2 linked regions of the Astyanax mexicanus genome follow. The protein of the gene in region 1 interacts with the protein of each later gene in a pairwise test. Links are inferred from orthologs where the notes say so. Each region holds a gene or a part of one and is shown in the gene's direction. Other genes may lie near its edges.

Region 1 (17,249 bases):
ACTAAAAATCTAATTAAGGATTATAAAGAAATGGTTTAAAGCTAGGCTTACCTGTAAAATAAATAAAAAAAGCACAAATTATATTTAAAAAATAAATAAATAAATATATGTTAAGACCATAGACTGTATATAAATATGGACAGCACAACAGGGGTTGAAAAGTAGAGCCACTACGTCTCTTACGCCCTCTGGTGGCTGGCTCCAGTACAACTTTTAACCCCGCCTATTTCCATTCAACTGAATGAGAGATGGCAGACTTTTTTTTCTAAAATTACACATCCAGGAATTATTTTGGAAGTTGGGTTCTCTAAATTCTGAACAACACCCCCCCCCCACCCCCACCCCCCGTGTTAATAACCCCCAGTGTTTTTCAATATACTTTATAGGAGTTATTCCGTGATATTTAAAGGGGTGTGGCGATGTGGTGATTGACAGCTGAGGGCAAGTTGATTGACAGGTCGCCTGAGAGCATGAATGCGCACTGTGGCTCAGTCGCGGAGCTCACAGTCAGATCTTTCTTAAAATTCAGATTTTACTGTTAAAAATTACATTTCTGAAGTAAAGCAATGGCTTGTTTAGCAGTTAACTGTTGTAACATATCCTCAGGGAAACGTTCTCTGCTGTTTTTTTGGTAAGTGAATAATTTCCATCCATAAATTCATTAGTAGTCACACTTTGTTCTTCTCCCTAATTTTAGTATATTTACCAATTATTTAGTAATAGTTTGGCTTCAAACCGCCGTAATGAAAGTGAATTGGGACGTCCTGTCCATACTTATATACAGTCTATGTTTCAGACACATTGGGTTAAGTCGAATCATTGAGTGACTCAAAACATTGTTTACAAGCCCATGTGTTCATATTACACACGGTCAGACACTGGATTATGCGGGTCTACAACTGAAAGTTTAGAAATAACGCACTAAACGAGTCACAAAAAAACTTTAAAAGAGTGATTATTATTGTTTTCCACAATTAATCACGGATCCTCACCGGAGAGGGATGGCGCTGCAGTTTTTAGAAGCGGTACGATGTATTTAATGCTGGAACATTTTTCGGTACAAGCTCAGACCTCAGAGCGGAGTGGTTAAAAAATACGTGCTCACTGGTCTGTGGAAGGTGCCGGTAACCAAGGTAAGACAGATAAACACTGCAGAAACGAGTAGTGTTTTTGGAATTTTTTTATTAAAAAGATAAAATGTCTGTATGTAAATTCGCAATTACTCCATTTTAAAAATCACATTAAAACGCCAATTCAGATTATCTGAATTAATTGTAAAAATCGTTCAGCACTAGATCAGCAGCGGGTTTTTTTAAGGATCTCAATAATTGTTGAGGTTTTAAATGATGCAGGAACAGTTCCAGTGAAGTGAGAAGAGTGAATAATTGCAGAGATGAGACGGATCAACGTAGAGAGACAAGCTTAACCAAAACTGTAGTAAGAGGGTCCAGCTAACAAGTGGATGACTTGGACTAACAGATAAAACCTGAAGTTTCTGAAATGGTGGGAAAATGGAAAGAAGAAAAACAATGAACAGGAGCAGAAAGTTTGAAAATTATAGTGAAAGGGGATTGTAAACTGAAAGGCTGGTGGATTTAATGTTTTTTTGTTGTTTTGTTCCCCCAAAAAAATGACATAAGGGAAAAAGGAGTTGAGCACAGATGAGATGGTAGAAAGTCTAGTTGCCATGCTCTCTCTGGATTGGTACAGTAGATGGCGCCCTCTCCTCACATCACACTCATGGTGATGTCGGTCAGCACAAGACGTCTGTTAGCTGAAGTATCAGTGCTGCATTTTTCTCAGAGCGCACTGGCTAGCTTATAATGCTACCCGCACCATTTCAAAAACAGGTGGTGGCTGACTTCACATGTATCAGAGAAGACATATGCTAGTCTTTACTCTCCTGGTGTTGGGGCATTACTAGTCATAGAGGAGTGCAAGTGAGAGAGTGAGAGAAAATTGGGATAATATATATAATATATATATATATATATATTATTATTATTTTTTTATTTTTTATTTTTATTTTTTTTTATAAGTGTTGGCCAGACCATTTTCTTGAGCCTGACCTGACAGGACCTGTAGAAAGTGGTGTGAAATCTCAGCCTGAGTTCAGTTTGGGTATCAAACTGATACTGTAACGGCCTTGTGCAGACAGTTTAAACTTCTGTAGTGTAGCTTATTTAACTCTGGTATGTTGGTTCCTTACATTAACTGTTAACTTCAGGTTCTTATTCAACATTTTGATTGGTTCAAAGTCAGGACTTTAACTGGGGCATTCCAAAACTTTTTAACTCTTTAATTTTATTCTTTTTTAACCATTCTTCTTCTCTTGAGATTCAGTTCACGAACAGACATCCTGACTTTTTCTTTTAGAATTCTCATTTCAGAATTCATGTTCCGTCAATGATGGCAAACCATCCTGGGCCAGATGCAGCAAACCATAATACTATCACCACATTTCACAGATGGAATAAGGTTCTTCTGCTAGAATGCAGTGTTTCCTTTCTCCACAAGTTCCATTTTAGTTTCATTAGTCTCTTAAACATTCTTCCAGTAGTCTTGTGGCTTGTCCGCATAATCTTTGGTAAACTGCAGACAAGCAGTAATGTTTTTTTTTAGAGCAGTAACTCTGCCATGCACACCATTGTTGTTTAGTGTTCTCCTGACTGTGAACTAATGAACAGTAATATAAGCCAAAGTTACCCTTGGAGTGATCTTTGTTTGTTGACCTCTCCTGGGGAGGCTAACAGTGGTCTTGATATTTTTTTCATTAGTGCACAATCTATCTGACTGTGGATTCCAAACTCTTTAGAGATGATTTTGTAACCTTTTCCAGCCTGATAAGCATCAACAACTCTTGGTCCTCAGAAATCTTCTTTGTTCAAGCCATGATAAACTTCCACAAATGTCTTTGATAGATCCCTGTGTTTTTTTAATATAACAAGGCCCACTCACCCCTGACTGTCATCCCATTGATTGAAAACACCTGACACCTTCAAATACCCACTACTCCTATAGGTTCACATAGTTTGTAAAATTGGATCATTTTCCTCAATAAAATAAATTATCAAGTATAATCTTTTTCTTATTTGTTTAATTGGGTCCTCTTTATTTAGTTTTTAGGGTGTGTGAAAATCTGATTTTTAGCTCGTATAAATCCAGAGGTATAGAATATTTTAAGTGGTTCATAAACTTTCAAGCACCACTGTTTATGCATGGACAATCACAGAGTTAGATAATGGGTGGGTAAAGTGGATTGGGTTGAACTAGAGTGGGATGCATTGGGTTAGACTGTCTGATTTGACTAGATGTGTTGGGTTGAACTTGGTTGGTAAGGGATGTATCAGGTTGGACTGGATTGGGTTGATTGGTATGTATTGGGTTTGGCTGGGATGCATTGGGTTAGACTGGATTGGGTGGAACTGATGGCTTACTCCACTGTTTTTCATATTTGTGTGATTATTAATTATTGATCAGTACCTGGTGTTTCTGTGCAGGAGTATCAGTGCTCTAAGGAGTCGAGTGTCGGTCCAGACTGAGCACAGCTCCTTCCTTACTCAGAGAGACTACGCAATCATCCTCTTCCTCATCTGTGCTCAGATCGTCCTCACCCTCATCTACAAATAATCAGAAGATTATTCTTGAACTCCAGCCTGGGATCAGGGACCGAACATAAACCAGAATGGACGCCTCCCTGTCCACCACTCTCTTGCTCCTGACCTCTGCACATGTCCACTTTGCCTCGCTTTGTGTTTTTTTTACGCTCTGAAGGATCCAGAATTTCAGTGAGAGGTGCTCCGGGACTGACTGCAGATAAAGTACATTATGGGAAATGCTCTGGACTGCAAAAGATGAGAGAGCCTAAAAAGCACCGCCTCTTTTACTTTTACTTTATCACTATTATTATTATTATTATTATTATTATTATTATTATACTGTTATATTATCTTTGTTATTTTACAGTGTTCACTTTTTCCTACTGGTGTGTTTGTAAGGGAATTGGATGGAAGGTTTTAATGAGGGATGTCCCAGTTTGATCCAGTGTCTGATGTTTGCTTCTGTAGCCATGCTAGGCTAACAGTGCTGACAAACACTAGGCTTAGACTCATTTTATACACACCCCAAAAACACATCTCTCAGCCCGTTCAGATCTGCATTAATTTAGTGTAGTTATTTTACAAGTGATAAATTTACCTAAGTAAAAACATTTTTTGTGGGTTTTGTGGGAGGCACCCAGGCAGTGGTCATTTTTACTCTCTGGACCTGAATTTGCCTTTGATACTGAGTTTTCTTTAAACTGTTACAATAAAACCTGATTCAGTTGGGATAATTTGTTTTTTGCTGCTGTGCCTCCATAATAAGACATACTTTTTTGTAATTAAGAATTTTTTTAATTAGCAGATGTAATTCTAATCCTCCAGCGGTTCAAAACGTTTACAGTAGACTCAAATCTGAACAGGGATGAGAACACTGGATCGGGACCTTCCTAGTTTTAAAGCAACAGATGAACTGTGTCTCTGTACGAGTGTAAGAGTATGTGTTTTATTTTTTACTAATCAACACACACCTATGGGAATAGTAGGAGGAGCTTAGGTGTAGGTGTAGGGGAGTCCATGGTATTTCAGGTATGTAGTTTTACATTAGCTGTAGATCTACATGAGCTAGAAGAGCATGAGAACCGCCAGCCTCATGCTGCGCCATTGCTAGTGTTAATATATACGGACCAGCAGGACACTGCTTGGCTTCAGGTTAGGAATAAGGTTTAGGTAGAATTAGGGTTTAGGACTAATCCTGTAATTTGACCATAGTAAAGGTGTAGCAGAATGTTTCCTATTGTAGCTCCTCCCCCTTCGTTTAATGTAAATATTATCAGTTAAAGCCAAATGGGAGGAATATAGGAATGAGTTACTTAACGTTTTTCTACACAAATGCTTTAGACACTGTCGTCATATCACATGTGTCTTTTATCTGTTTTGTGTGTGCGTGTTTTAGAGGTTTGAATGTGGTCACACCAGTAATAACTTCAGATTTATCATTAATGTGCCTTTTTAGAGTGGCTATGGTTGGCGGGGTTCTTGGGAGAGACTGGGTGGGGCTATGCCATGGGTGGGACTTAGAAGGGGCATGTGATGGGTGGAGCCTGCTTTAAGTTTTTTTCCACTTTTATTAATTTTGGTTGTTTTTCACTACTGCGTGAGTGACTGTGCCATAATCAGCCTTAGAGACGCGTTTTAACCCACCGACCACAGAGTGTGCGTGTGTGTGTGTGTGTGTCCTGTTGTCACTTGGACAGTGTGCGCTGCATCTCTCTGTTCTACACGGTTAATGATGATGTATTTGTATTTAAGGATTAACTTCCTGTATGTTAATCACCTGTAACACCAATTAATAATCAATAAACAGTGACAACCATCCATCTCATTCTTCTGTCAGTGACAACATCGTGATTGGGTTAGACTGCATTTGGTGTATCAGTTTGGGTATAAAAGATTAGACTGGGTTGGGTTGCATTGTGTATATAAAAGTAAAATTAGTTGGGCTGGATTGGGTGTACAGTTAGGTCCAGAAATATTTGGAAATTGAAACAAGCTCCCTTATTTGGGCTCTGCATGTCACCTTATTAGATTTAAAATTAAACAAATGAGATGCAACTGTAGACTTTCATTCAAGGGGTTAAACAAAAATTAGCTAATTAAATTTACCATAAATACAATGTTAATTTTTAACATTTTGTTAAGAATCCTTTGCAGGCAAAGACCACTGGAAGTCTGGAACATATGGACATCACCAAACACTGGGTTTACCTTTTAATATGCTTTGCCAGGCCTTTACTTCAGCTGTTTTCAGTTGTTGGTTTGTGGATCTTTCTGCCTTTAGTTTTTATTAATCAAATGAAATGCTGCTCTGTCAGGTTCAGACAACCATCTCTCATCACTGTGAGATACTGGAGCATCTTTATCAGATACGGTGTGTGTGTGTGTGTGTGTGTGTGTGTGTGTGTGTGTGTGTGTGTGTGTGTGTGTGTGTGTGTGTGAGAGAGAAAAACTGATAGATGAAAAAAGGGGTAATGATCTCTCATTCTCTGTAGGTTAATGGCCCCTAAGTTCTGTAGTAGGAGAGAGAGAGAGAGAGAGTGTGTGTGTGTGTGTGTGTGTGTCAGACTGCTGTAATGCAGAGTTAATCCGAGTGCTGAATGAGAGTGACACTGCAGCAACTTTTTCAGTTTGGAACATAAAGACCCTGCTGATACAGCACTCACACTCACTCGCACATTCACTCATATACACTCTCCTAGCTCCATCAGTTCATTTATAAGTTGATTTACATAAAAATAAATAAAAGTAATAATACATAAAGAGAAATAAATTACACTTTAAGTTACCACTTTAGTACATAAGCTTTATATACAGTGGTATGATTTTCCTTTATAAATCATTAGTTGTTTGGATCAGTAATTTCAGTGAAACATATGTAGCAGATGAATACAGTGAAATTTGAGAAGTAAAAGAAGTTTATACGATTTACAGAAAGTGTGCAATAATTAAACAAAATTAGACAGATGCATACATTTGGGCACCCAAACAGAAAAAATACATCATGATTTAGTATATTGCAGAAATAACAGCTTCTAAACACTTCCTATAGCTTTCAATAAGAGTCTGGCTTCTTGTTGAAGGTATTTTGGGTCATTCTTCTTTACAAAACATCTTCAGTTCTGTCAGGTTTGATGGTTTCTGAGCATAAACAGCACACTTTAAATCACACCACATATTTTCAATATTATTCAGGTGGTTTGGGGACTGAGATAGCCATTCCAGAATATTGTACTGTTCATCTTAAACATTGTTCTGAAAAATCTGCTGATATTTTCTGAAATCCATGCGTTCCTCAACTTTACCAAGATTCCCAGTACCTGCACTAGTCACACAGCCCCAAAGTAAACCTGGCTTGTCCAAATGTGCTTTTGCATACCTCAAGTGACTACATACAGCCTCACCCTGTACAAAGTGTGCTGAATAGTTGAATGATGCACAGCGGTTGTAGGTATTTGGAGCTGGTCTGTGGGTTGACCATGAATGTTTCTATTTTCTCTGCTAATGTGAACACGAGTGGGGGGGTAGCGGTAGTCAAGCCATAGAGTATCTTTAGAGTAGCCATCTTAGCTAGTTAGTTAATATGCTACCGTGGGTATCCTGGTCTTACAAGAGTGTACACTTGCATGATTAGCTGGACTGTATTTGGCATTTAATGGTCATTTATTTTATGTATGATTTGATATTATTATTGACACTTTACAAAAGAGTGTTTCTTCGTTATTTGCCTGCACAGATAGTTCAGTGAAGCCTGTAAAGACAGTTAGACAATCTACAAGGTATTTTTCTAGTCTGTAAATTATAAACTAGCTTGCAAACACACAAGTTTTTCAATACAGCAAACAAAGGCAATTACCTACCTTCCACGTCGTGCACATAACCCTCAATCCAGTTACTGTAGCCTTTTAGTAAAACAGACAATTTTTCGACTGCTTTCATCATTAATTTAGGGAGGTTAGTTTTCCATGCAGGTGCTGCCATTTAAACTGGTGGATATTCTTGGAATTTCCATTTTAAGAGTGGGTTTAAGGGTTATCTTAAAAATTATGGTAGAGTTATTTTAGAGTTGATCCTGGGGTTAAGTTAGAGGATATAATATTGGGGATCATTATTATTACTGCACCCAGTTATAGCACCACCTTTCTAATGTTTATGGTCAGTGTGTGTATATATCTATGTAAAAGTCTAACTTAAAGTGCAGAAACTGTATACTGACTTGTATTTATCTAAATCTAATATGAGGAGTAAAACAGAAAAACTCTTGTTCAGTAGTATATTTTACACCTTTGCTCAAGTGGAGTCTCGTAAACAGAAGTGAAAAAAAGAATTGGTGCTAAAATACAGCTAATAATAAAAAAATGCAATATATCTTTAAAACATTCTGAAAGTTTGGCACAGGTCAATTTATTAGTTTGTTTCTAAACAATAAAATAGTCTTAAGGAGATGTTTTACAGTTTGGTTGTGGTCAGATGTTGGTTCCCCGTGTTTGAAGCAGTGGAGGAGAAACCTCACATGAGTCAAAGTGAAAACAATACAGTAGAGTTTTAGTACATTAAGTAGTAATCTGGATTTCATTTACATGCTAAATTATACCTACAAACCTGTAAACTGGTTTTATTTTGCCTTTACGTTTACTATTAGGCCAGAAACCATCAACACAAACCATTTTATCAGCCTGTTCTTTAACCTTCAAGTAAAACATTTACTACATAACCCACATTTCATAACTACAACTCACATGACCCATATAGCACAACAAAATCAATGCAATTATCTTATATTCTATTTATTATTCTTACTTGACAGCGTATTTTACTTTAGCCTCAACGTGTGACATGTGGTCAGCTACTCACCACAAACATTATTCTCCTGAAGTAAGTGTAGTCCTTGACTACCTGTGGCTTTCTACAGCGGGCGGGGTTTATGTAAATATAGGGGGTGTGGTTACAATGAATTAAGACTGGTATGTAGTTTTATATATTCAGTGTAGAGACTAGCTACAATGTTTCAGATTATTGGCCTTTTTATAAGCTTAAATCTTAATATACAGTGATAAAGTGTTATTTCTCCAACATTTGATTCCTCTGAGTGAGTATTTGAGTAATTTACCCCTGACTATCAGTCTGAAATGGCATTACTTTCTGTCTCATAGTTCAGAAAACCCCATTTTTAACAACTTTCTCCTCAGAAACAACATGGCGGGAAAGGCGGGAACATCGACCGGTCGCCTCCCCCATTGGCTCGGCGTTACCCCGGTGACTGCCGCCCTGCGTGATGACGCTATATGAGCGCGCGCGGCGGGAGCGCGCTCCCTTTTTTACCGCCATCAGAGCGGCGCGAGAGAGACACGCAGATCCAGCAGGCTGAGGCAGAGTCTCCGAGTCCCGGCCTCACAGTCCCGCCTCAGACCGCTTCATCTCCGCCTACAGAGTCTCCCGCACCCGCCGGTACACCGGATCAGCAGCAGGTGAGCTCGCCGTGGCTCACTGAACTGCGTGTTCTCTCGATGGCAGCCGCGGGGGAATGTGTTTGATGGTGATGCTAAGCTAACGAAGCGCGGCCCACACGCGGGCGGGGAGAGGCGGCTGTATCGCGGAAAGTAAGGGAATGAGTTCCCGCGGGTGTAAGATACGGGTTAGATGTTGTGTTAGTGAGGCGGGCTGTGGGCATTTATGGCTGTGTCGCCTGTCTGGTTGTTCCTCCCCCCGTTTCTTGTCCTTCCCGCGGCGACCGGGCGCGGTGTTGGAGCTGAGGAGAGTAACAGAGCTGAAAATCTTTATTTTACCTCAGACACACCGCGGGGTCGCTGCTTTAATCTGCTCCTCCACATCACTCACAATAACTCCCCTGCTGCTCGTAGGGCCGACAAGGAGCTGTAAAACACCCCCCAACCGGAGAAATGTAGGTCCACAGTGGCAGGTACCGGCAGTTCTCGCTGTTGGTTTTAATCCGTCCCCCCTCCGGGTTAAGGGGTTAGCCTCAGTGCTAACGGGCTCATCCGGGGAAACACGTGGAGCCGCGGCCGGTCTTGGCGAGGGGGCAGCGGTTGCTCTCACTCTTTGGAGGTGGTGGTGATGGGGAAATTAGAGCTGCTAAGAGTTAAAGTAGTAATAAAGTAATGACGGTTATAGTCCAGTCATAAAACGTTGCCCTGCTTTTTGCCAGTTAGGCCCACTAATGCCCATGCGGTCCAAAATAGTGTGGTAGCTACTGTGTCTGAGTGGGCTGCTGTGAGGTCATCTGTATTACTGTTTAATTTTAAATCTGTAGCTACATGTTTGAAAGAGAAACATTTTCGTTTTGAATGGAGTGTATTTGTGAGGTCACAGAAAACAAGCTGGGCTTTTGTGCTGCAGTTCTGCTCTGATCCATCACAGCTTTTTAAATGTAGGCAGCAACTAATCTCATTTGCATATCTGTGGTAAAAGGAGGGTTTTCACTCACTACGGTCTTAATACATAGGTCTGGATTCTATGATTATGATTTAGTCTGAGTTTAGTTTTGTAATGTGTTCCATGTATTACCAGTGTAAAATAAGCATAGGCTTTGCTTTAGTCTCAGAATGTAAGCAAAACATTCTACCCAAATATAATGATGGATTCTTTGGTAATGTTTAGTGGTGGTGGGGGCGTTAAAGATGTCCACGTGGCCTGGCTTGGTTCTGTGGAGGCTAAAGGGGAAGAACTCAGTAAAGTTCAGTGAATAGAGCTGTGTTGCTTTTAGATCTTATGCAGTGTCAGTTTGTCTATCAAGATCCCAACAGCAGCTCCTAAACCTAAGGTCTCAGCTTTTGGTGTTCAGGTTTAACATATTTACAGTTTATTATTTAGTTTATTTGCTGTGAGAAATAAGTATAACTAATATAGCTTATACAAATAACAGTTTCAGAGTATGCCAACTCTGACGAAGACAAGTAAGAAATAAGATCCACAACAGGTTATTACTATGAGTAACTGTTTTCTAAAACTTGCAGTAAAAGGCAGAAATGTAATTTAAGGTCCTCTACCTTTGGTCTGGCATGTTAGTTATGGAGAAGGTGCAGATAATTCTGGTGCTTATTTTTTTTCTGGATTTGTTTTGCCATTCAACAATGACATTTAAACAGGATTCAGATATTAAACTGCAGTAATAACGTTCACCTCTCAGATTTATAGTTAAGTGTGTAAGGAGACCTGGAGGGCAAGTATCATGTATTGTCTGTGTGCCTCTGTCTGTGTGCCTCTGTCTGTGTGCCTCTGTCTGTGTGCCTCTGTCTGTGTGCCTCTGTCTGTGTGCCTCTGTCTGTGTGCCTCTGTCTGTGTGCCTCTGTCTGTGTGCCTCTGTCTGTGTGCCTTGCCGCTGGTGGATTTTGCAAAGTTCAGCTCTTAAAAACTCTTTCAGTAGAATGACGTTATTATAGCGCTCCACAAAAGAGCCTGGCCTGTGATGGGACCCCTCCACTATAGATTACAGCTTACTCATCTGAAAAAACACAATACAAAAGGTCCTCACTGGCTGCTTTGACATTGGTCAAAGATGGATGAAGATGCATCCCCCCCCACACACGTAGTGCAGTAGATTGTTTACATTTTCTGCGATTATATAAAAATATAAAAATCATTTGAATGTCTCCCTTCTTATTGGTAAGAGTGCTGATATGCCAGCTTAAACCTGTCCAGTACAGCTGATAGTTGAATTTATTCAAGGTCTTATTGTTTTCTTATTGCAATCACAACCGATCTAGAAGTAGTTTGGGAACGGACTGAAAGCGCACCTAATGTCGCCTAATTGCTGCCCAGAGTGACTAGTCTCTTTAAACACTTACTGTCTGTCATGTCTGATCCAAAATCTTTTTTCTCTCTCTCTCTCCTCAGGAATAAAAACAGACATGGCCGATCTCGACAAGTAAGTACCGCTTCTTTCTATTCCCAGCATGCCTCAGCTTAGAGCTGCACGTCAGGATATTGTAAATAATTTATCATAGATGCTAAATAAATCATAATGGATACTAAATTGACAGTAGGTACTGAAAAAGGCACAGCAGGTAATGAGGGGTGGGTGCCAGGGTGATATTTGGTGGGTATTGGGTAGTTCCTTTATCAATGTGAAGTTAGTGCCAAAGCTTATTTGCCCACCTCTGTTGTGCATCTGCCTCGCAGCCAGGCCCTGTCCACCTGCTGCTAACCCAAAAACACACACGGGTGTGAGTGTGAGAATCCTAGAAGAAAACTGTTGGAGAAGCATATCAGAGACAAGAATACACCAGAAAGAAAGTAAAAATAGATTGCAGTGAAGATAAAAGCAGTATATTAAAATAAACCAGGACTGATGGAAATGTGACAGAATGGTAGTGATCTGGACTCTTAATTGTCTGTGCCAGAAATACGGCTTATAAACTTGTGCTATAGTGCAAGAAGGTTTTGAAGTGATGGACCAGCCTTGTGGGGAAGACCATTTACATTACATAGTAGTTGAATTGCGGAACCTACATGAACTTGTACAGTTGGGACTTTACTTACTGGACTGACTGGGTTTACTGGTGGGAAATTCCTCTCAGGTTTTTTAAAATGTGCTGTGAATTCTGAATTCAGTCTGAGGTGGTGGGTCTACCAGATAGTAGTATAGTCTGGCTCTGCCTCTGGTTTCGGTTTCTGTAAAGCAGAGGCAAATGAGCTATCAAGTTTTAGGACATTTTTTTAAAATAATGAATTATTTTAATTTTTGTTTCAGTAAAGAGCAGGCTGAGCTGGACCCAGCTGATATGGAAGATGTTGAGGAGGTGGAGGAGGAGGAGACCGGGGAGGATGTCAACAGTAAAGGTACTGTCTGCTTACCTGCTGACCTTGCACATTGTCCAATTGCAGCAAATCCTTTCAAAGATCCCTTTAAAAATGTCCTTACCTTTTCAATGCAAATGTAGTTTTATATTCAACATTAAGTGATACAAAAAAATCTACATGAACATTTTACTCAACATATACCTATAAATGGTTCAATCAGAGAAACAAATTATTTTGAAGTGGTACGGTTGGTGAAAAAAAAGGCTGGGCATTCTGTGTAGCCTCTATTTTCTCCATTTAATAATAATGAATCTTCATCATAACCATGTTTTGTTTTTTGGCATGGAATGTTGATATTGGGCTGGAGTACTCTTATTACATTTTTCAAACCAGGGTTCTTTCCTACTCTAATCATAGGCTCCATCTTTTGGATCTTGTTGGAACAAACAATGAGCCTGATTGTGGCACTTAATTAAGAACAAATATTTTTTTCCACTAACTGTACCTAAAAGGTATCGAACCGCAGGGTTTATACCTAGGTGTTAACCCAATCGTGAATTTTTTTTATTATTATTTTTTTTTTGTATTGTTACTGCGTCACTATATTTTAAACGCAAGTTAATTAAGGCACCAAATTTGACTCCTGCTTCTGCTGTAATCTGCCCCGCCCAATGCACTGAACTGTTGTCTGGCTGAATGATTGAACGGTGCGCTCTGAACTTCTAGCTTAGTCCTGGTCATAGAGCTTTTTCTCTCACACACACACTATTCCACTTTCCCTGCTCCTCGTTCCTGAGATTTTTTTTCTTCTCATCAAAGTAAGTTCAAATTTGGAAATCTCACATCCAAGCAGAGATTTTTACAATCTAATTTATCATGCATTCTTTATTCCAGCACCCTACATTGGCTTTATCGCCACTCAAACATACAATTATTTACTATTATTAAATTTACTATTAAAATTGACACCACAAATACACCTATAATTGCATTTTTATGAAAGAATGAATAAAAACGTGCAATTTAATCGCAGCATTTTGTTGTGATTAAACGGATTAAATTTTTTAAGCGATTGACACCACTTAAATATAATAAATAATCTCACTAGTTAGCAAGTTCATTTATATTTGTTGTTTACAATCAGATCAAATAAAGACTTAATAATAACCATGTGAATTTCACAGTATTTTTTTAATTTTCTAACAAATGTCCTTGTTTGGACACATGCTGCCAGATAAAGGCTTCTGTGCAAGAACTATGACTAGATTTAAAGAAGACAGTTACAACATGCGTCAATGCACTTAAGGCCTTTACTAATGAGGGATGTGCCACGATACCTATTAATCGCGGCAAAAAGCTTGTCAAGCTATGTTGCACATCTGAAGGACGCTGTTACTGCCAAAGGAAGTTGTACTTATGTACGTCACTGGGGTTGAATAATTTTGTCTGAAAAAATCCCAAAAGGATGTTTGTTGGTATTAGGAAAGTTATGTCATTCAGTCAGTGTTCTCCACCCTGCAGAAATCATGAACTTTAATTTCCTATGGCCTATATACAGGTGCTGGTCAACGAATTAGAATAATTTGAAATAGTGCTATCATGAAATTCTTTGAATGCATTTTTTGTGCAGAAAGCAAATCAGGTGTTCACCGCACCTGTCCTACTCGTTAGACTAATCACAGAACCTGGAAAAAAATTTGCTCAGCTGAGCTTTCCAAAAGGCCCATTTAGGCCATTTAACTGTGACACTGTTGTTTTATTGAATTAGAATAATGGAGAAACCGTTTCATTGAATTAGAATAATTTTTATTTTAATTACAATCATCACTTTCTCAGTATTTTGTGGCTGTCCCCTTGGCTTGTATGACTGCCTGAAGTCTCCGCGGCATCGATTTGACCAGCTTGTCGCAAGTTTCTGCACTCTCAGCTTCCCAGGCAGTGGCGATGTTCTGCTTCAGTTGGTCCAGCGTAGTAGGCTTTCTGTCGCGAATTTTCCGCTTGACGATGGCCCAAAGGTTTTCAATGACATTGAGGTCAGGCGAGTTGGCCGGCCATGCCAAAACTTCAAGCTGTTTTTTAGTGAACCAATCTTTGGTCGACTTTGCCGCATGAGCCGGTGCAAGATCCTGTTGAAATATGAAGTCTTCTTCGCCGAACTGTTCCTCAACAGTCGGAATCAGGAACGTTTCCAGAACATCTTGATATACGGCAGCATTGACAGTCTTCTTGAGGAAGCAGAGTTTCCCTACACCTCGAGCGGACATGCATCCCCAGACCATAACGCTCTGGGGAAACTTGACGGATCTTTTCACGCACTCGTGGTTGTAGGTTTCGCCACCACGACGCCAGACACGAGGACCTTGGTCACCGAAGGAGATGCAGAAGCGTGATTCGTCACTGAAGACCACTTTCTGCCAGTCTTCAGCACTCCATTTGTTTCTTGTTCAGCATCGGTTTTACTGCTGGAACGCGAGATTTGAAGCCGAGTTCGCGCAGACGACGGTAAGTGGTTGATCTGGAGACGTCAGCGCCGGTTGCTTGTTCCGCAAGTCGGTGAGCTCGGAAGTGGACTTGAACCGGTTGCTTTCTCATCTTTCTCAGCTGCTTGTTGTCGCGAGCAGAAGTTTTTCGGACGCCGGAACAGTTGGTGCGCTTGCTGCAGTTTTTCTTGAGAGCTTTGCAGAAGGAAGACTGGCTGATGCCGAGCTGCTCAGCAATTTTAGTTTGGGTCTAACCTTGTTGGCGAAGGGCTTGAATTTGAGGCACTATTCCGGTTGAGAGGTCGCGCTGCTTACCCATGATTGATTTTACAACTTAGAAATTCTACTCAACCCTGACTTTATACTGCACAGTGAACACTCTTCACAGAAAACAAAAATTCGAGCATTTATTCTAATTCAATGAAACGGTTTCTCCATTATTCTAATTCAATAAAACAAGTGTCACAGTTAAATGGCCTAAATGGGCCTTTTGGAAAGCTCAGCTGAGCAATTTTTTTTCCAGGTAACGAGTTCTGTGATTAGTCTAACGAGTAGGACAGGTGCGGTGAACACCTGATTTGCTTTCTGCACAAAAAAATGCATTCAAAGAATTTCATGATTGCACTACTTCAAATTATTCTAATTCGTTGACCAGCACCTGTATGCTGCGGAAATGGCTCTTAAAATACAGTTGGTACAGAGCAGGAGGAGAGCATCAGTTATAGTAATGTTCAGAGTGCTTAGCAGCTGCTTAGAGGAGCTTGTGGCTGCTGATTTTTGGACAAGGCTTAAGGGGTCTAGGTTTTTCTGAAGCTTTAAAATTTGCATCATCTGAATCTTCCAATTTTAGACTGAGCTATTTTTAGATTGGGTAAGAAAGTGAAGATCAAACTGCAGTTTTTTGATTCCTCACACACCTACTGTTCTGCTCAGTCATCAAAGTGGTGGGGGGGAGGGATATTTGATATTGGCTAATGACCTCATTGACCTTATCAGTGTAAAGTAACAGCTTACTGGCTGTGCACGCATGCACATGCACTACAACATGCTAGCATTCAATAATGCAGTACTCCCCAGTTAGGGAAAGCCGCAAGTGCAGCAGTGACCCCCATAGCCCCATCACTTTCTGTAGTGTCAGAATGAGCATGTGTATTATATGAGCATATTAGAGCACCTCCTACCCTTCCTGTAGTGTATTTGTTTATTTAGAGGTGTTTAGTGTATAACTAAGCTTGTGTCTGTGTTTAGCGAGGCAGCTGACTGTGCAGATGATGCAGAATCCTCAGATCTTGGCAGCTCTGCAGGAGAGGCTGGACGGACTGGTGGGTTCCCCTTCCGGGTACATGGAGAGGTGAGAACACTTGTGTCTTAAGACAGAAACGGGCATTTCCTACTTCCCACCTTTTACTTTATGTCCTAGGTGGTGCTTGTGTTTGTTGCTGTTTAAGTGTTTTTGTATTTTTTTTTTTTATGACTTGAGTAATCATATTAAACATGTATTGTTATTGTGTAAGGTTTATTTGTAACCCATGTCTGTTTCCTGTCCAGTTTACCAAAGGTAGTGAAGCGACGTGTAAATGCGCTGAAGAACCTGCAGGTGAAATGTGCTCACATCGAAGCAAAGTTTTACGAAGAAGTTCACGAGCTGGAAAGGAAGTATGCGGCTCTGTACCAGCCTCTGTTTGACAAGGTGAGACCGCTGACTACTTCCTGTTGCAGTCTATTCTGCTTCTCAGAGAATGGCTAAGACTAGCTCTCAGACCGAGATGGGAATTGTAGTTTTGTAGGTTGCAGAGTGGTGGACAGTTGGGATATACTGATATTAAAATGAATTAGTTAATCTGTTAAACTCATTTGGTTCTAAATTCGAAATGCATTTTTGATGTACCTTTTATACCATACAGTTGCTAACAATTGTACCGCTTTGGCAGGCAGTCAGTAAGACTTAATCTCAGCTAGAAGCTCTGCAGACTGATGTTTGGGACAGCGTAGCCAAACACACTAGCTAGTGTTAGCCATGTTAGCATTACAGTCTGTTAGCTAACAGCTGCTTTCCCCCATCCTTTTCCTTCTTCCTCTGCACCTGGGGAAGCTTTCAGGGGGACCTTCAGGGCTGGTATGTTTAGTCAAATTTAAAAGCCATTTTCTGGGAGTGTTCTGGAGTACTCATCCCAGATCCTCCTAAAATTGGTGTTATCATCCTCCCTTTACGTGGGTTCAGGTACAGTCCACGCCAGGAATTGAAGCTAGCCATGCCCAGATCTGCGTGCAGGTTGTGTGGTTGGTTCATTTTGTAATGCAACTGCTTCCACATAGCACATTCTTTCCACTTTCATTAAGTCCTGGGTGCAGAGTCAATTAAAGATTAGTGTTGCAAAGCAGTGTTAGATTTGAGAAATTCTGATTGCATTTT
Region 2 (16,933 bases), on another chromosome or scaffold:
GTTATTAAACATGTTGCATTCTTTAATATATTGTAAGTAACATTTCTAGAGGCATAAGGAACGTGAGGTAATGCCACACTAGGCCTGCCAGAATAATTACAATACAGGAATATTATACAATAAATGAAAAGTTTATTTAAAGGTATGTTTTGAAAAAAAAAAACACCTATATATGTTTGAGAAAATTAACTCTTTATACAGATGACTTATTGTCTATTTATGGTAGTTTGTTCTACAAAAAGAACCCATTAAAAGAGAGCAAAAAGTAAAGAGCTGGTATGTTAAGTAGGGGAGCGCCATATTGTGTCGTATACAATAATATTTTCAACATTTTTAAATATCGTGCCATATCACTTGCCTCTAATTATCACATCAGGGTACTACTTTTTTGCTGTTTTTAGCAAAAGAAAAAATCACACTGTTCTCATTTCCTGTTATATATCTATTAGAGACAGATTATATCTGTCCAGTATCATTTATTTTACTTTCATTCTAGATATATGGAGATATTTGGAGTGCATTATTAGTATCATGATATTCTGGATCATTGACTTCTGTTACAAATCTGACAAAATTCTTGTATTTTTTTATATCTCAGGGGTGTGCTCATATCATAATATCATAATTTTTATATATATATATATATATATTTGTTTTATTTTGTTGCAGTAGGGTATTCTAGAAATATTTTTTTTTATTGACGAGTATCATTATCTCCAAAATACCATAAAACCTTATTTATATAGCACCTTTCATACAATAAAATTAAATAAAATAAAAATAAGCAAAATGTTAAAGTAATATAAAACAAATAATAAAAATATAACAATTTAATAAATAGAAGTAAATAAAATACATTTATATTAAAATAAAACAGAGAATAAAATAGATTTAAAAAATGATAAAAAATAAAATCAATCAAAAAAAGAAAAAAAATAATATATATATATATATATATATATATATATATATATATATAAAAGCAGAACAAAAGGTGGTAGAAAGCTATACTAAACAGGAAGGTTTTTAGCTGCCTTTTAAACCTACTAACACTCGATTCCTGATGAATATTAATTGGTAAAGAGTTCAAATCATCAGATCAAATCTAATGAACTGCAGTAAAGAAACGAATGACAGTTCAGGTTAGTAGTAAATTGTGTAATATGATTTTTCCTGTAATCACTGATATTACTACTCTGTCACACTTGAAATGAGGGTTAAGGGAATGTGAGGCTCTGTTTCCAGAGAGGGAATTTGTACAGATGAATGAAGATCCTTGTCTCAGTGCTGCAGTTCACTGTAATTCGGTTGGTTTTCAGGCTGAATGAAACTCTTCTTCCACACTCAGGAAAACAATCCCACCATTTTGCTCAGGCTGGGAATCCAGTGATCCGGATGGCCATGCAGATTCTGGTCATGGGTGCTGGCATATGTATCATATTAGCAGTAGAAACACATGATGCAGGCGGAAGAACAAAGACTCCACTTACACTTAAGAAGAATCAACGCTAGAAAAAAGCCTGCAGGGTTTGGGAGGAAAACGGTGTGATCTCTTAGGCAGGCTGCACATAATCACAGTAGTCTGGATGTTGGATCATTAAAACAAATGCTTTTATTACAGCAGAAGATTATGGAATATAGAGGGCAATTATATTAATCAAGGCAGTAAACATAAAGATAGGGATAAGGCTAGTAGGTGCACCAATATTCAGATAAATCCCCAAAAAACACTAAAATGATTTCCTTCATAAAATTCCTAAAACAAGGTAACACACAAAAGTGAGTGCACCTCAAACATCTTGTAAACTTGTAAACACATGAATAAGAAAAGTAAATAAAAGCTTGTGTCAGAACAGTGTCTCCACACACTTAAATAATTAAAGTTCAGTCAATCATTTAAGTTCAATAAAATAGACTCTTATTCAATAAAATATTTCTTAAGGCACTATTCACAACTGCTACAGTCATATTAACCCCTTCATAATTGTGTTCAGAATTCTAGAGTAATTCAAAAACCATGTACCTCCAATTTTGCTGTTTTTCTTCTCATGATAATCTAATAATAATAATGTAATAATAAAGTGGCAGGTTTTTTTCGTTTCAAAATGTCACAATAAATGAAACTGTAGAGGTGCTACAAAATTATTGAAAATGTTTGCTGTTCATATGTTCATATGTTTTTTTCTTAGTATTTTGGAGATACAAGGTTTTTCAGAGACAATAAAGATATACAGTACCTGTCAAAAGATTAAATAAAATAATCTTTTGAATTAAATAAATTCAGTGTTTTTTCATTATTTTTAAGTTGTCTGCATTGTGGATTAATACTAAAGTCATCCAAACTATTAAGAAAAATCATATGGAATTATTTACTACATAAAAAACTGACCAGAATATGTTTTATATTTTAGATTAATCAAAGTAGGCACCTCTTGCTTAGATGACAGTTTTGCACATCTTGGCTAGATTTCAGTTAACAGCTGTGCTGATAACTGTTTGAGAGCAATAGTTGTAAAGTTGTGAAGAGGTAGAGTTGGTATACAGTGAATATACATATTTGAGTAATGTTCTAATTCATTATATGGTAAGAACTACTCAACTAAGTAAAGAAAAAATACTTTAAGAAATGAAGGTCAGTCAATGAAACGGTATGATGAAACTGGCTCTAATCAGGACTGCCCCAGGAAGGGAAAAACAAGAGTTTCCTCTGTTGCACAGGATAAGTTCATCAGAGTTACCAACCTCAGAAACCGTAATATAATATATTACATTTATGAGTATTTTGGTTTGCTTAACACTTTTAAGTCACTACATGCTTTCTTATGTGCTCCTTCATAGATGACTTTAGTACTATTATACAGTGTAGGAATTAAATAAAAAACCTTCTTGAATGAGAAAGTGTGTAGAGTGTCTAGACTTTTGACTGGTGCTGTATGTGGAATTTCTTTTCTATATATTATCCTTTTTATATCCCTTTAAATATGTAATACACATATTAACACATTTTCACAATCATTAACACATGATAAATACACCATAAAGCCTCTTTTGGCAACACAATTATATCATTTTATCCTGCAGATGCGTGTCTGGGACGCTGAGCACAAGCGCAGTAAGATCCTTCATTGTTCTTCACTGTTTAATTGTTTAAAGAGCATTTCTGAGGTTCTCACACAGCCATCAGCTTTGACGTCAGCTGTTTGGGCAGTCCAGTGCAGCTGGAGTTCTTTAGGGGCAGTCGGTGCTGCCGGGTGAACTACGTGATGTTACTGTTTGCTGACATCACACTTCTCAACTTAACACTTAATTGCAGCAGTTGCTTTGCTTCTTCTTCCTGAAGTCGTTGTGATCTCCAGTGATTTCTGTAAGGAAGCGGGTAAATAAGATTAGTTGTCATAATCAGTATTTTTTTAGCTGCTGTCTAAAGCCATATCCGGACAGGATTAGTTTCTCAGGGAGTCCTGGGGTCATTTTTTCTCTTTTATGGTGGTTTTCTTGTGATCTTATTCCCATCTGGAATGACCATGTATGTGTTTTTCTCAGACATCTTCTGACAAAATTACAGGCTGAATTATCTACTGTTTTTCGCTGAACTCCGTGGTAAATTTTAGTTTAGTTTCATCACCTAGCTATTTGTCCACTGCCACTATATTTTTTTAACAAAATTTTGCACAGTGCAAGTTAAGAGTTTTTTTGTTTTTAAACTGAGTTCCTTAGTGTACTCTGAGGACTTCCTCAGTGTACTTGTGACAGGGTATTTCTGTCTGATTTTTGATTGTTTTAGACATTTTTAAGTTCATAAAAAGAGTTAATTTGGGAGAAAATTGGGGCCAAACTTAATTATATTGGGGCCAAACTTAAAAAAATAATAATTATTTTGTGTTAAATTAAAAAAATAATGCATCAAAGTTTCAGGATGAAATGTGTGCATTAATGTGTTTTTGTTGAAAGCATTAAAAAAATATAATTAATTCCAGGGCAAAGCTTCAAGCTGTTCATTACATTCATAATGAGCATGTAATGTTTGGGGAATATAAAGTCCTATCTGGACGGGATTAGTATCTCAATGGAACTTCTGAGAAAAATATTTCACACTTCTACTCAGTGATAAAACCAGACTGCAATTGAAAAAAACAGGAGCACCAGTGAGTTTTTTGGCTTTCTCTATCACATGACATCACGTTCAGTAGCTCCTCCATTTCCACTCGCTGTCGTGTTTATGTGGATCTTCATGGAAACGTGCACACGGAGTGTAATTATGGTGCGTGGCAGTGGACAAATAGCTATTTTATTAAATGCGAGGGGATGAAACTCAGAGATATTTAAGAAAAGACGCTTGTTATAAAAGAAAATTGTTTATATACTATTTAATATGTGTTTATTTTGTGATAATAATAGTACGTTCTATAAAACATAAGTATTAATAAAACATAAGTATTAATAAAAGTATGTTCTGATACTGTTGTTTCAATACCAATTAAAGATGATTTTTTTTTTAACTTAAGGGGCAACTTTTATATGTTCTTTCTTTTTTTACTGCATTGTCACTGCATTATGGGTGATAAATGATTCAGACTTTGACTCGTGGGCAAGAAATGTGAACATTCCTACCACCAAGTCAACATATCTGCCAATAAAAGCCATACCCATACCACACGCATTTAAAAGGCCTTCCTGAGGTGAACTGAGTGTATTAGAGCCATGCATGGCAGGAACAAGGGAATGTTTTATGCTAAATTCTAAAAACCACTAGAAGGCAAATTAATGCCACATTTTGCCCACATGATAAACTGGATGCATCTCAGAATCTGATGTGCCAATTTCTAAAATACTAAAAGGCTACTTACTAACAACATTGTCTGCATGTCTCGTGTTCTTCCTTTCCAGTTCCGCTAAAACAGAAGCCTCGAAGGTAAGTGACGCAACCCGGAGAAACAGCTGCCTCACGCTCTCTCCTGTTCAAGGAAAATGGAGGCATTGCACTGTGGTACTATTGCTGTGACAGAACCATTACCTTCAGTTACGAAGTTAAAGCCAAGAGAAAATAAGTCATGATGTCATGTTTGTAGCATATGCCAGCTACCTACTTTAACCAGTCCTACCTGACAGAGCAGAAACAGCCCAGTACTCAGCTTTTATCTCCTCTGACAACTTAATGGCTTCCTCCTCCATCTGGGCCAGCAGGTCTGGATGCTGACACATACAGTAAACATGAGTGCACCAATCAACTGTAAAGGATTTATTCATCTGAACATGAACTCACACTCTGGTCCTTCTTGGTCCCCACGAGGAAGAGAAGCACACTGGAAGGGTCGTTGTCTATCATGGCATCTTCAAGCCACTGTCTGTGAAGTTACCCAACATGCAGATCCCAGTGATATTAAACAGGGCTGCTTACACAGCAGAATTAAATTAAGCTCCAAACAGCATCTAGGTGTGTCTAACGTGATAACTACAAGAATGTGTGACAACAGCATGACTTACCTTGCATTAACCAAAGAGTAGTAGTTGCTCAGATCAAATACAACTATGATGGCTGCAGTTCAGAAAAGAGTAAACAAAAAAATGCCAGTTTTTAGCATGAATACAGTCAGGCACATCCAGAGGTGGAAAAAGTACTGAAAAATTGTAATTAAGTAAAAGTACCTTTACTTCGCTACAATTCTACTCAAGTAAAAGTAAAAGTACCCATCTAACAATCTACTTGAGTAAAAGTAAAAAGTACTGAATATAAAATGTACTTTGAGTAAAAGTTACATAGTTACTTTTAATTATTCGATGTAAAAAATTAAAAACAAATCATAAATTAAATTGGTTTTAATGAACTATTATTCCACATAATAATTTGGACCTTTCAGGCAGTATTTGTTCACACCACCCTATAAAACTTTTTTTGTTTTTAAGAACAAGTAGTATAGGTTTCTATGATCCATTTTTTTCTTTACTATTAAAAAGTTATGGTCATATAGGTGACTATAAACTGTATTTTTATAGTTTCACAGTTTCATTATTATTTTTTTATTAACTTGCCATTGCTATGCTTTAACTGCTTTTTACATGTTTTTCTTTACATTTAAGCAGATTGTTTAATGATAAAATATATACCACCACATACTTTCTCAGGTTTGATGTGGAAGTTTTGAAAGCTGACAGCTCTGTGCGGCGAGGCACATTTTGCATTGCATGAGGACGTTATTGCCTCGTTATTCTACGGGCAAGCATCCGTGACAATTTTTTTTTATTATTATTTAGACAATTTTTATTTATTTATTTATTTATTTTTACTCAGTAATTGGGAGTTTTCCAATGTAGCAACGTAAATTACTTGTGTCAAAATGTACTTGAGTAAAAGTACAAGTACCTATTTTAAAAACTACTTAAAAAATTACAAATTACTCATAAAATCTACTTAATTACAGTAACTTGAGTAAATGTAATTCATTACTGTCCACCTCTGGGCACATCCAAACCAGTCAGTCAGAATGTTACTGTATTATTACCTTGGGCCCCTCTGTAATAGGTGGACGCAATGCATTTAAACCTCTCCTGGCCTGCAGTGTCCCATCTGCAGTAAGAACAACCATTCAATAGTAACTATTATTACATCTCTACTTATTTCATTAGAGCATTCATTTCTGTTTATTCTTCTATATAGAGAATCATGACTCACAGCTGCAGGTTGAAAGGCACTCCTAGGACCTTAAATCTCTCCATCTCAAAGTCCACTCCAATAGTGGCTTTGTAGCCTTTGTCAAAAGTATCCTTACAAAACCTTCAGGGAATTAATTTCAAAACTATTAGAAATGTAAACATCTCTGTTGAGAAGTCCCAAATGCGATACGAGGTGCTACACAGCAGTTTTATGGCATACAGCACCATATTATTAGTGTTAGTGTTACAGTATTATTGATATTATTTAGCACACTTTAGATTAATGGTAAAATCGCTATAAAAAATAAATAGACCACTTCAGTTTCTGAATCAGTTTCTCTGATTTTGCTCTTTATAGGTCTAAGTTTGAGTAAAATGAACATTCTTTTCATAGTTTTATTTTATAAACTACGGACAACATTTGGCTGAAATAACAAAAAAGATGCAGAGCTTCAGACCTCAAATAATGCAAAGAAAACAAGTTCATATTCATAAAGTTTTAAGCGTTCCAAAATCAATATTTTGTGGAATAACCCTGTTTTTTTCATGCATCTTGGCATGTTCTCCACCAGTCTTACACACTGCTTTTGGATAACTTTATGCCACTTCTGGTGCACAAATTCTAGCAGTTCAGCTTAATTTGATGGCTTGTGATCATCCATCTTTATATTCTTTATCTGATTATATTCCATAGGTTTTTAATTTGGTAAAATCAAAGAAACTCTTCATTTTTAAGTGGTCTCTTATTTGTTTCCAGAGCATTGTGAAATTTATACAATTATAAATATTTGAACAGTGTAAATGATGTGCATGGTTTAATTTGCTTTTTAATTTTGCGACACATTTTTTTAGCTATTTGCACATGCATCATACATTGCGATGGTGATGGTGAATATATGGTGATATATTGTGAAGCTCTAATTCACTCTACATCAAAACACATTTGAATGCAACTAACAAAGTCAGATATCTTCAGATATTTAACTAAAAAAAACACATTTGTAGTAATGATAATAATACAATTACAGACCATTTTATAGCTGTAAATAACTCAATAAAACAATTATGCATTTTTTGTGATGGAAAAAAAACAAAAAAAAACATGCATTTGACTTTCTGCAATATGTGTTCTATGGAATGATCTTGCTCCGTTCAGCTCCTAAATCGAGGTGAAATTCTTTATTTTTAAACTTTTTTAACAACCCCTCCTCCGTCAGTGACAGCTGGTATAATGAGCTTTTCATTATACTTTATATTAGTATGATTTGTATAGCAACCCAGTATAATGGATGCAGTGCTCACCTGTTAATTAAACATGTTTTTCCTACTCCAACATCACCCACGACTATTACCTTGGCTACATTAAATCTGTGGACAAAATAGACAAAATTCAATCTAAATATAATGACCAGTGAAGAGTCCAGACTGCACAATGAACAGACAGAGAACAGGACTTACCCCATGGGGTCTGATGTCTGAGTCTGACATGCGTTTTGGACGGTAACGTGAAAGCCGTCTTTGGTGTGCAGAGCAGCATCCTTGGTGAAGTACTGTATTAAACATAAATCCAGTATAATGTATTTTTCCTGATCATACAAATATAAGTTATTAGTTCAGATTACCAATAGGCCTGTCACCGTAATCACATTATCAATTTAGTATATGATATATGGAGATAACTTATATAACAATATAATGTGCTGTCCTAAATGCTGCATATTGTGGGTACTGAGCAAGGGAATTTATTGACATAAAAGAGCCAGTATGTCAAATCTTTTCCCATTTCAGTGTTTAAATATTATTAATACTTAAATATATCTGGAACTTCTCTGAACTTCCCCTTTATTACAATTTAGGAATATCATATAGAGTTTGCATTACTTTGCATGTAAATCCTTATGGTTAAAACAAACTAAAAAATAAGGGGATTTGTGTTTTTTTTACTGGACAGTATCAATATTCATTTTAAAATGTTGGAGGGTTACCAGTGGGAGCTCACAGATGATCCTATCGTCTCGTATGGGTGGTAGAGAACTCATAGTTAGGATCTATGAGAAGTTGTCTAACGAACAGAAGAGCACACAAACACAAATTCAGCTGTTTGCAGATTGTCAAAAAGTGTCAACAAGGCAAATTTTATAATAAAAGACTAAATAATAAAAAAAAACGTATGACCTAACTGTATTATTTATTGCTTTACTCATCAAATAGCTTATTATATATTTTTAAATAATATCATATAATATGATATGTAAAAAAAAATGAGCACAATGATTCTAAAATCATTATCAAAAAAGAATTGCTATATGTATAAATTCAGCATCACTCAAAGGTTTACATTTGATCAGATATTTGATTATGTATTTATATATTACAAATCTGTAAGAGCAAAACCTTTGGCACTACAAACCTGTTATGCTAAAATGTATGTTTATTTCCTAGTATCATTGTTCTGCATTTTTAATTTCAAATATATAAAAGTACATTTTATTTAGAGTCTACATTTATTAAATAAATAAATCAGTATCATAGCACAGTATCATATTTAATAGTAATGGCTCTGTAGTCACCAGACATGTTTCAGAAAGCAGCTTTTAAACGATAGAGCTAAAGTATGAGTTAGTACTTCTTAGAAACATATTAAATACTGTAAATAAGTGATCTAACTCTTAATTTTAAACAGAAAAAATATAAATCTTGGTAAAACACCCAAAACTATTACATGCAATCAGTAGAGCTGTGGGAAACAGTACATACCACAAGAGAATATCTATCCTCAGTAAATCCAGCTTCCTACATTCCCTCAGAGTCAGAAATCACTCCTCACAGGGCTGAACACTCTCTCAGTCTGCAGGGCTGAAACAGATCATTCTTCTTATACAGCATAAATTTATATTAATAAAAGATTTTAAAGAAATCCCATTCATTTCCCTGAGCAGTAAAAGCAGGATCAGATCTGTGACAGTCTTCAGCTGGACTTGTGAGTTTTAACGCCCATATTTCTGCCTCCTACTGGTGATAAATAGTCTCAACAGTGCCACTTCTTATTCCTCACATTAAAGCTCAAATAAAGAGTAATAAACGCTACAGGGCGCTGCTGAGTGAGTTCTCTGAGTGAGGATGGATATGGCTTAACCAGAAAACTTCTCGACAGGAGAATAAAAACCCACTAAATAATCTTTTGTAGTCCCAAATGAAAAATTGTATATGAAGCAATTGAAAAAAAAAAAACATAATTTATTAATGTTTGTTCATTTCTATATCAAAACATTGTCCCTATCTAAATATAGAACAGTATCAAATATTTAAATACCGAAGACACATTTTTTAAACCTTAAAACCTTTAAACCTGCTCTGGTTGTAATTTCAGCATTATTTTACCAACCAGTCAGCTCACAGCAGCAGTGATGCTAGCATCTTTACTCCCCCAAACCTTTTACCCCTTTACTGTAGAAATTTGGACATAAACAGGTATTTTTCTTTAGTTTATTAGTAAAATACTTTATTCTACTATAGACACTTTATTAAATACCTATGTATGCACATTTTATATAGTATTCTTACTATCTGCTGATACCTGCACCTCTTGCACATTTCTTTTATTTGTCACTGCATTGATAGTGTTATTTTTTTTATATATGTTAATTTTATATTTGTAGACATTTTCTTGCTTATATAATACAGTATTATTTATAGTAAATATAAAATATTAATTAAAATGTTACTACTTATTTTAGTACTATTTGAAATTGTTTGTAGTTATTGTTTTATCCTTTTTTCTTTTTATCTATCTATGATATTTTTTGTCTTATTTTTTTTTTGCAATATGTTCTCCTATTGAAATGTAAGCCTGAGTTTAAATAACGAATGATTAAATAACGTATGATAGTATTATTTATAATCTAGCTATATACAGTCTATGATCTAGCTATATTGCTTCCGAAACTACAAGAGCCATTATGCACCGCGCTGTGTTCTCGCGAGGACAGCGCGCGACCGAGCCCCTGCGAAATAGAGCAGGAAACCCCTCTGTTCTTCCTTTCTCAACATGGCCCCGAAGGCGAAGAAGGAAGGTGCGCTCGTTTTCAACATTTTTGGTTTAAAAGTCGCTGTTAGACTGAATATAGACGCGGGATATTTGGTGTGAGGTTGTCTGAAGGTGTAGTGGTAGTGTATGTGGGGTTTTGAGGTTGGAAAAGGGTCTGTGGAGACGATATTAATCTGTTAAAGTGGCGCAGCGCTGAAACATGTCCACACTGCTCCCGCACACGTTACTGAGCCTGGGTCTCAGAGCTAGCCGGCTGTTGGATTAGCTAGCTAGGCTACAAGTTTAACTGACTAGTGTCAGGCCGAGTGTACTAGCTAGAGAGACGTGAGCTTTTATAACGTTGAATTTGCTTTAAAAGCGGTGTAATATTGTGGTTTATTGACTAGAATACCTTAAAGTTTAAAAAACGTTGGGGCACAGTTAGCTAGTGAATGCTATGCTAGCAATAGAGACAAGGTTTCTTCACTGGCCCTGTGAGCTATAACGTTAGCCAAGTTAGCTAAACTGTGTGTTGACTCTGCATAAGACATTTTCCCAGGCCCAGTTCATCTACATGGAATGTGTAGTTATCATTAGCTGGCCTACCAATTTAACCAGTTCCATGATAAGTTCTTTGATTCGAATCTTAAGCTATAAACCCAAGTTTGACTTACGTATCTCCCTAGCATACACGTGAATGTCCCTGTTAACCTGTAATTTTGGGTATTTGTTGGGTCTCACGTGTGACGTAATGATTGGAAAAATGTGTTTTTTGTCACTTATTGTGTTTTAAGACTTTAATATGTGTAAGTGGTGCCCCTGTCCTACTTGTAGTAACTATAACTATATTTTTGTGTTGAGGGTATAGTCCCATAGATAGTTGAGGTAAATGGTAGTCAGTTTAAGATCATTTTCCCTTCTTAAATAATAAATGTAATTGCATAATACGACTACATATGTAATATACTAAGAGTAATCAAGTTTCAATTATAATTATATTACAAATATTTAGACTTAAACATTGAAAAACATCATTTAAAAATATCCTACGGAACCTGAATCATAAATAAAACCATGCAGATATCAGTGATATGTAAAAAGTCTATAAATTGTACAATTATCTGATATTTTACAGACTTATTTTTATATAAAAAGTTAGCTATGATACTGCTTCATTCACATTGATACACACGTTGAGGTTATGTCCATGTATTGTGATAAGATGATCTAATAATGTGACTAGCTTAATTGTAGGCATTTGTTGCAGATAAGTTGGTTTTATACACAAGTTCTGCCACACAGTAATATACTATTATACTATCAGTTCTTTGCCATCTTGGTGATCACTATTGTTGCATTTAGCTTAACAGTGTTGTCCATGTCCCCACAGCTGTCCCAGCCAAGACAGAGGCCAAGTCAAAGGCCCTGAAGGCTAAGAAGGCTGTGTTGAAAGGTGTCCACAGCCAAAGGAAGAAGAAGATGAGGACCAGCCCTACTTTCCGCAGGCCCAAGACTATGCGCCTGAGGAGGCAGCCCAAGTACCCCAGAAAGAGCGCGCCACGCAGGAACAAGTAAGTTTACCATTGTCAGTGCTATTTACAGTGGTCCTTGTGGTTCTTATTTAGTATTGTTTGGCTTGTAGTTAGGGCTGCAACAAATGGTTAACATAGTCGACAATGTCTGTTATAAAAAGTCAACTAATTCATTAATTTTTAACAGCAGTGGACTACACAGTGCTCCCAAATGTGACACAACAAATTAGGCTTTTTAAAAATGTCTTCTGTGACAGGGCATTTCAATCCCACCTTCAGCCAAATATATTGTTTTAAAGTAAGAGTAAAAGCGAGGAAAAGGAGCCATTCCCACAGGAAGGAGAGTTGGAGGGCATAGCAGAAATAATTGAGTACAAAACTTAAGTACAATAATAATCTACAGATTAATTGACAACAGATTAATACCAAAATGCAGCCCTACTTGGAGACCAAACATTTTGTTGGACAGTAGCAGGATGCACATGATGGTAATTGCGATCAAAGCATGATATTTATGATTACACTTTTTTCAGTGCTGATGCATCTTGTGTAACATGTTTTGAATTCTTGTTTTCTCAACATGTTTCCTAGATTTAGTGTTCTAATTATTTTTATTTAATTTCTTCAGGTTGGACCACTATGCCATTGTCAAGTTCCCCCTGACCACTGAGTCAGCCATGAAAAAAATTGAGGACAACAACACTCTGGTGTTCATTGTTGACGTCAAGGCCAACAAGCATCAGATCAAACATGCAGTGAAGAAACTGTACGACATCGATGTGGCTAAAGTGAACACACTCATCAGGTATTACTTTTTTTTTTTTTTTTTTTTTTTTAATGGAAAATATAGTAGTAGAAAATGTGTGCTTTCTGTGTAATGATGTAAATTATTTGTGAACTCTGATTCATGATGTTCTCAAAGGAACCACTGATTCACATGGTGTAGTTTAATTGAGAGATGTGATGAATGCGATGACGGGTAGAATATTAAAGTATTTAATGTGCTTTTTAGGCCCGATGGTGAAAAGAAGGCATACGTTCGTCTGGCACCAGATTACGATGCGCTGGATGTTGCAAACAAGGTAAGCAGTCTTGAGCAACTAATTATTTTTGGGGTATTTGAGCTTTGAGCAGCAAAAATGTGTACATCTTATGTTTATCAAGTTTGTAAGCTTTTCTGTTATGAACCTGGATAAATGTACAGCATGAATAACAAAACAGGTTGAAGTATTTTGAGCACATGATGTAAATGTTTCTGACTGAATCAATGATGCATTCAAAGGAACCACTGATGCTATCCTAGTTCTGCAATGCATTGTTTTCACTTAGTGTTTCTTGAGTGTAATTTTTCTTTCTTCTACTCTCTTTCAGATTGGCATCATCTAAACTGCTCTTGAAGTGTACAGAAGAATAAATGTTTGTAAAAACATGCATGTTGCCATTTGATTTATTTCACAATTACTCTGGACAAGTTGCACTCTTGAAAACAAGTTTTTAGCAGTTATTTAAATAATAAGCTACTGCCTAAGGCTAAAACAAAAAAGTTCTTGATCTGATGAACACAATGTATTGTAGATCTCACATTGCCCAAATGTAAGGCTGGCTGTAAAGTACTTTATATAGCGTATTTTTGTGTAGAATAGGCTTCTAACAGAGGGATTATTTGGTTTAATTGACCTGGGAAGTAAACAAGTAGAAAACAAATCTTCAACCATGATATCGGTTCAAAAGATGTTGGACAAAGTCAGTTTCTTTGATTCATAGATTGGCTGTTTTGAAAGTGTTGCATTATTAAAAATTTACCTATTTTTATTATTGTTCGGGCAGATATATATTCTATTTTTTTTTTTTTAAACTGTGATCAATAACAGATTTACCCAAGTGTTTTGAGCTATATTTAGTTTAAACGGTACAGCATGTATGTGGTAGTAAATCAAATTCCTCAGCCACCAAAGGTGCTAAAACTTCAATATTTAGTTTAAGTTTTAGTTTTGAAAACTGGGGAAAAAAGATATTTTCTAAATGGGATCTCACTCACCTCTCTTAAACATGGTTCAATCCTATTCCTGACTCTGTTTACTGTTCAGGTATTTTTATGTAAAAACGTCCTGTTTTCCTTTTTTTTTAAGCTCAATACTATTTGTAGATAAATTTCCTGGTTCCAGATCTCACAAACATACACACGAATGATCACATTGTAATTAAAGTAACCAATAGAATGGCATTTTATTTTGTTAGTGAACAGCATACAATAGCTGCTTATGACTGTAAATTGATTGGTTGAATTCACTACTTACACAAATGACTTCACTAGAGGGCAGCAGAGACCGAACTCACTGCTGTTCAATGGAGGCCAGAGCTTTCTTCTTCCAGCTGTCTGTGTATAACCTCTAAAGTAGCGCTGGAAAATATAAGGGGACTATTATTTAAAGGGCATCACTTTGTAGAATCTTAAAAATGGTAGAATTTTCACATGAACCGATATGGGTCTAAAAAAAGGTGCTTTCTAATTATTTTAATCATTGTATACAAATGTTTGTCATACTTGCCGGTCAGTATGTTGTGTGAAATTGTGCTAAAACCTCGAAATATTCTGAAACTTATTCACCACCCACTTAACACAAGTTTCTTAAATATTGACATCCTCCAATATTTCTTATTTCTAATGTTTTTTTTTTTATTTCAGGACAATGGGATTTATTAAAACAGAACTGTAGACAATTCTGAAGTTTAAAACACATGCATCTAACAGACTTTGCCTTTAAAATCTTTTTATACATTTTTAAAACTTTTATCAAGAACGGATTTTAGAAGATGTATTCGTTTTAATAAAGGGCTACTATGTCATGGGTTTTGCAAGTTGGCATGAATTCATTTATATTTTAATGCTCATGCCTAGCTGATCTTGTCATTGGGATCAAAATCTCAAAAAAAAAAATCCACTTCACAAATCATACAATCATTTGTTTGTGAGCACTGTATGGTAAACATAATACATTCATCTTAAATCTATATATATGTAAAAAGTTAGCACCATTATACAGGACAATGTTTTGTATTTCATTGTGTGGAGAAATACAGCTGTGCAGAATTCATAAACTTAGTGTGTGATGTAACTGTAGTGAAGAACTGTTCACTTGTCCAGTGTGAGGTTTATCAGTGCAGTTTGCGTTAGAATGTCTGATAAGATTGCTGGCCGTGTTCTATAGGAAACTAGTCATTGGCAAACTTCCTCACTCCGTTCTGGTGACTGCGTGGTGTAAAGAAGTCTGTTCGCAGAAGACGGTAGAAATATACAAGGATCATGATGTTCATCAGCATCATGCAGACCAGGAAAAACAGGGCGTGGTCCAGCCAGGAGTAGTTGTAGATGATGTACCAGGAGAGATAGAACTGAGCCCCGAGCCGGAAGCTGATGTACGTGGCTACATTGATCAGCTTATTAACTGTGTAGAGGAGAGAGTCTCTGGGCACTCCAGCCAGTTTGAGCAGTAGTCGTAGATGCAGAAATACACTGTTTACTTCAACGAAGAGAGCTATCACAGCCCCTGCCACATAGACACTCGTTATCAAAGCGTACATGAACGTTGAAATCACCTGCGAAACAAAAAAGCTTGTTAAGTTCACAGGATAGATCCTGGCCTATATTTGTGTTGTATTAAACCTGAAACCTTTAAAAATTAAACATTTCTTTGGTTTTATACATCAGAAACCGCAGTGATTTATTGATGCAGTGCTATTTTACAATTGGTCTCCTAGAATGAACCCCTAAAGCCCTATGGGTCAGTTTCTTAGACCTAGTTAGGCATTAGGCCTAGTTTTGCATAAAAACGGATTTTAAATTGATTTTCAATTCATAGGAAACTATAGATATAAATATATGACTAGGTATAATCCCTGTCAGGGCAACCAAAGTGGTCTCTTAATTTTTTCCCAGAGCTGTATATATAAGGGACCTCTGTTCTGAAGAGGTGCCCATCGAATGAGTTAATCCTCATTCAAATATATTACAAGCTAAAATATTTTTTTTTTGGTTTTTGTTACGTCACAAAAACTTTGTTGAGAAGTGACTCTTTTAACTGTGTTTACATACTATAATAAAAATGTCAGTTTTCCATAATATGTGCTGTTTAATCAAACTTCATCTCATTTTCTTTTACTTTACATAATTTTACTTGTTAACTTTGTTAATACTGACATTTTAAATGTTAAATATTGGCACAGTTCACAGCATATATCCTGGCCTATATGTGTGTTGTTTTAAACCTGAAACATTAAATTAAACATTTCTTTGGTTTTATACATCAGAAACCGAGGTGATTTATTGGTACAGTGCTATTTTACAATTGATTTCCTAGAATGAACCCCTCAAGCCCCATGGATCAGTTTCTTAGACCTAGTTAGACCTTAGGCCTAGTTTTGCATAAAAAAAATAATTTTAAATTGAATTTCAATTCATAGGAAACTATAGATATAAATATATGACTAGGTTTAATCCCTGTCAGGGCAACCAACCTTCAGTGTAAGCCCACAATTCTGTCAGTCCTGTAACACCATAAATAATATAATTTTTCAAGGCCCCAAAATAGAGCCCAGTGGGACTCCACATGTGCCAAATCAAAAGGCTACAAAATAATTCACCTTTCCGCAAGTTTTGGGATATTGGGAAACTTTGCGCCATTTGGATACAGTTTGGGACAATTGGAGACATTTTTGGAACTCT

Evidence for each region.
Region 2: the proteins of nap1l1 (region 1) and rpl23a interact in binary tests that used the Homo sapiens proteins (3 or more experiments, as listed by UniProt). The link is inferred for Astyanax mexicanus from reciprocal best matches to the Homo sapiens genes NAP1L1 and RPL23A.

What each region holds. Positions count from the first base shown.
Region 1 is NC_064409.1:26,591,626-26,608,874, reverse strand, and holds the start of nap1l1 (nucleosome assembly protein 1-like 1), read left to right. Parts: upstream 1-8,900; 5' UTR 8,901-9,044; exon of another isoform or gene 9,045-9,064; intron 9,065-11,450; 5' UTR 11,451-11,464; coding exon 11,465-11,481; intron 11,482-12,306; coding exon 12,307-12,395; intron 12,396-16,084; coding exon 16,085-16,187; intron 16,188-16,384; coding exon 16,385-16,526; intron 16,527-17,249. Other genes in the region: osbpl8 (oxysterol-binding protein-related protein 8), read left to right, coding at 3,501-3,630. UniProt on the Homo sapiens protein: Histone chaperone that plays a role in the nuclear import of H2A-H2B and nucleosome assembly.
Region 2 is NC_064424.1:10,151,244-10,168,176, forward strand, and holds rpl23a (60S ribosomal protein L23a), read left to right. Parts: upstream 1-10,619; 5' UTR 10,620-10,699; coding exon 10,700-10,724; intron 10,725-12,068; coding exon 12,069-12,249; intron 12,250-12,685; exon of another isoform or gene 12,686-12,755; intron 12,756-12,838; coding exon 12,839-13,015; intron 13,016-13,222; coding exon 13,223-13,292; intron 13,293-13,444; exon of another isoform or gene 13,445-13,507; intron 13,508-13,581; coding exon 13,582-13,596; 3' UTR 13,597-13,639; downstream 13,640-16,933. Other genes in the region: rab34b (ras-related protein Rab-34), read right to left, coding at 3,304-3,362, 4,848-4,955, 5,103-5,193, 5,264-5,345, 5,485-5,536, 6,501-6,565, 6,671-6,772, 7,954-8,019 and 2 more; tlcd1 (TLC domain-containing protein 1), read right to left, coding at 15,424-15,807.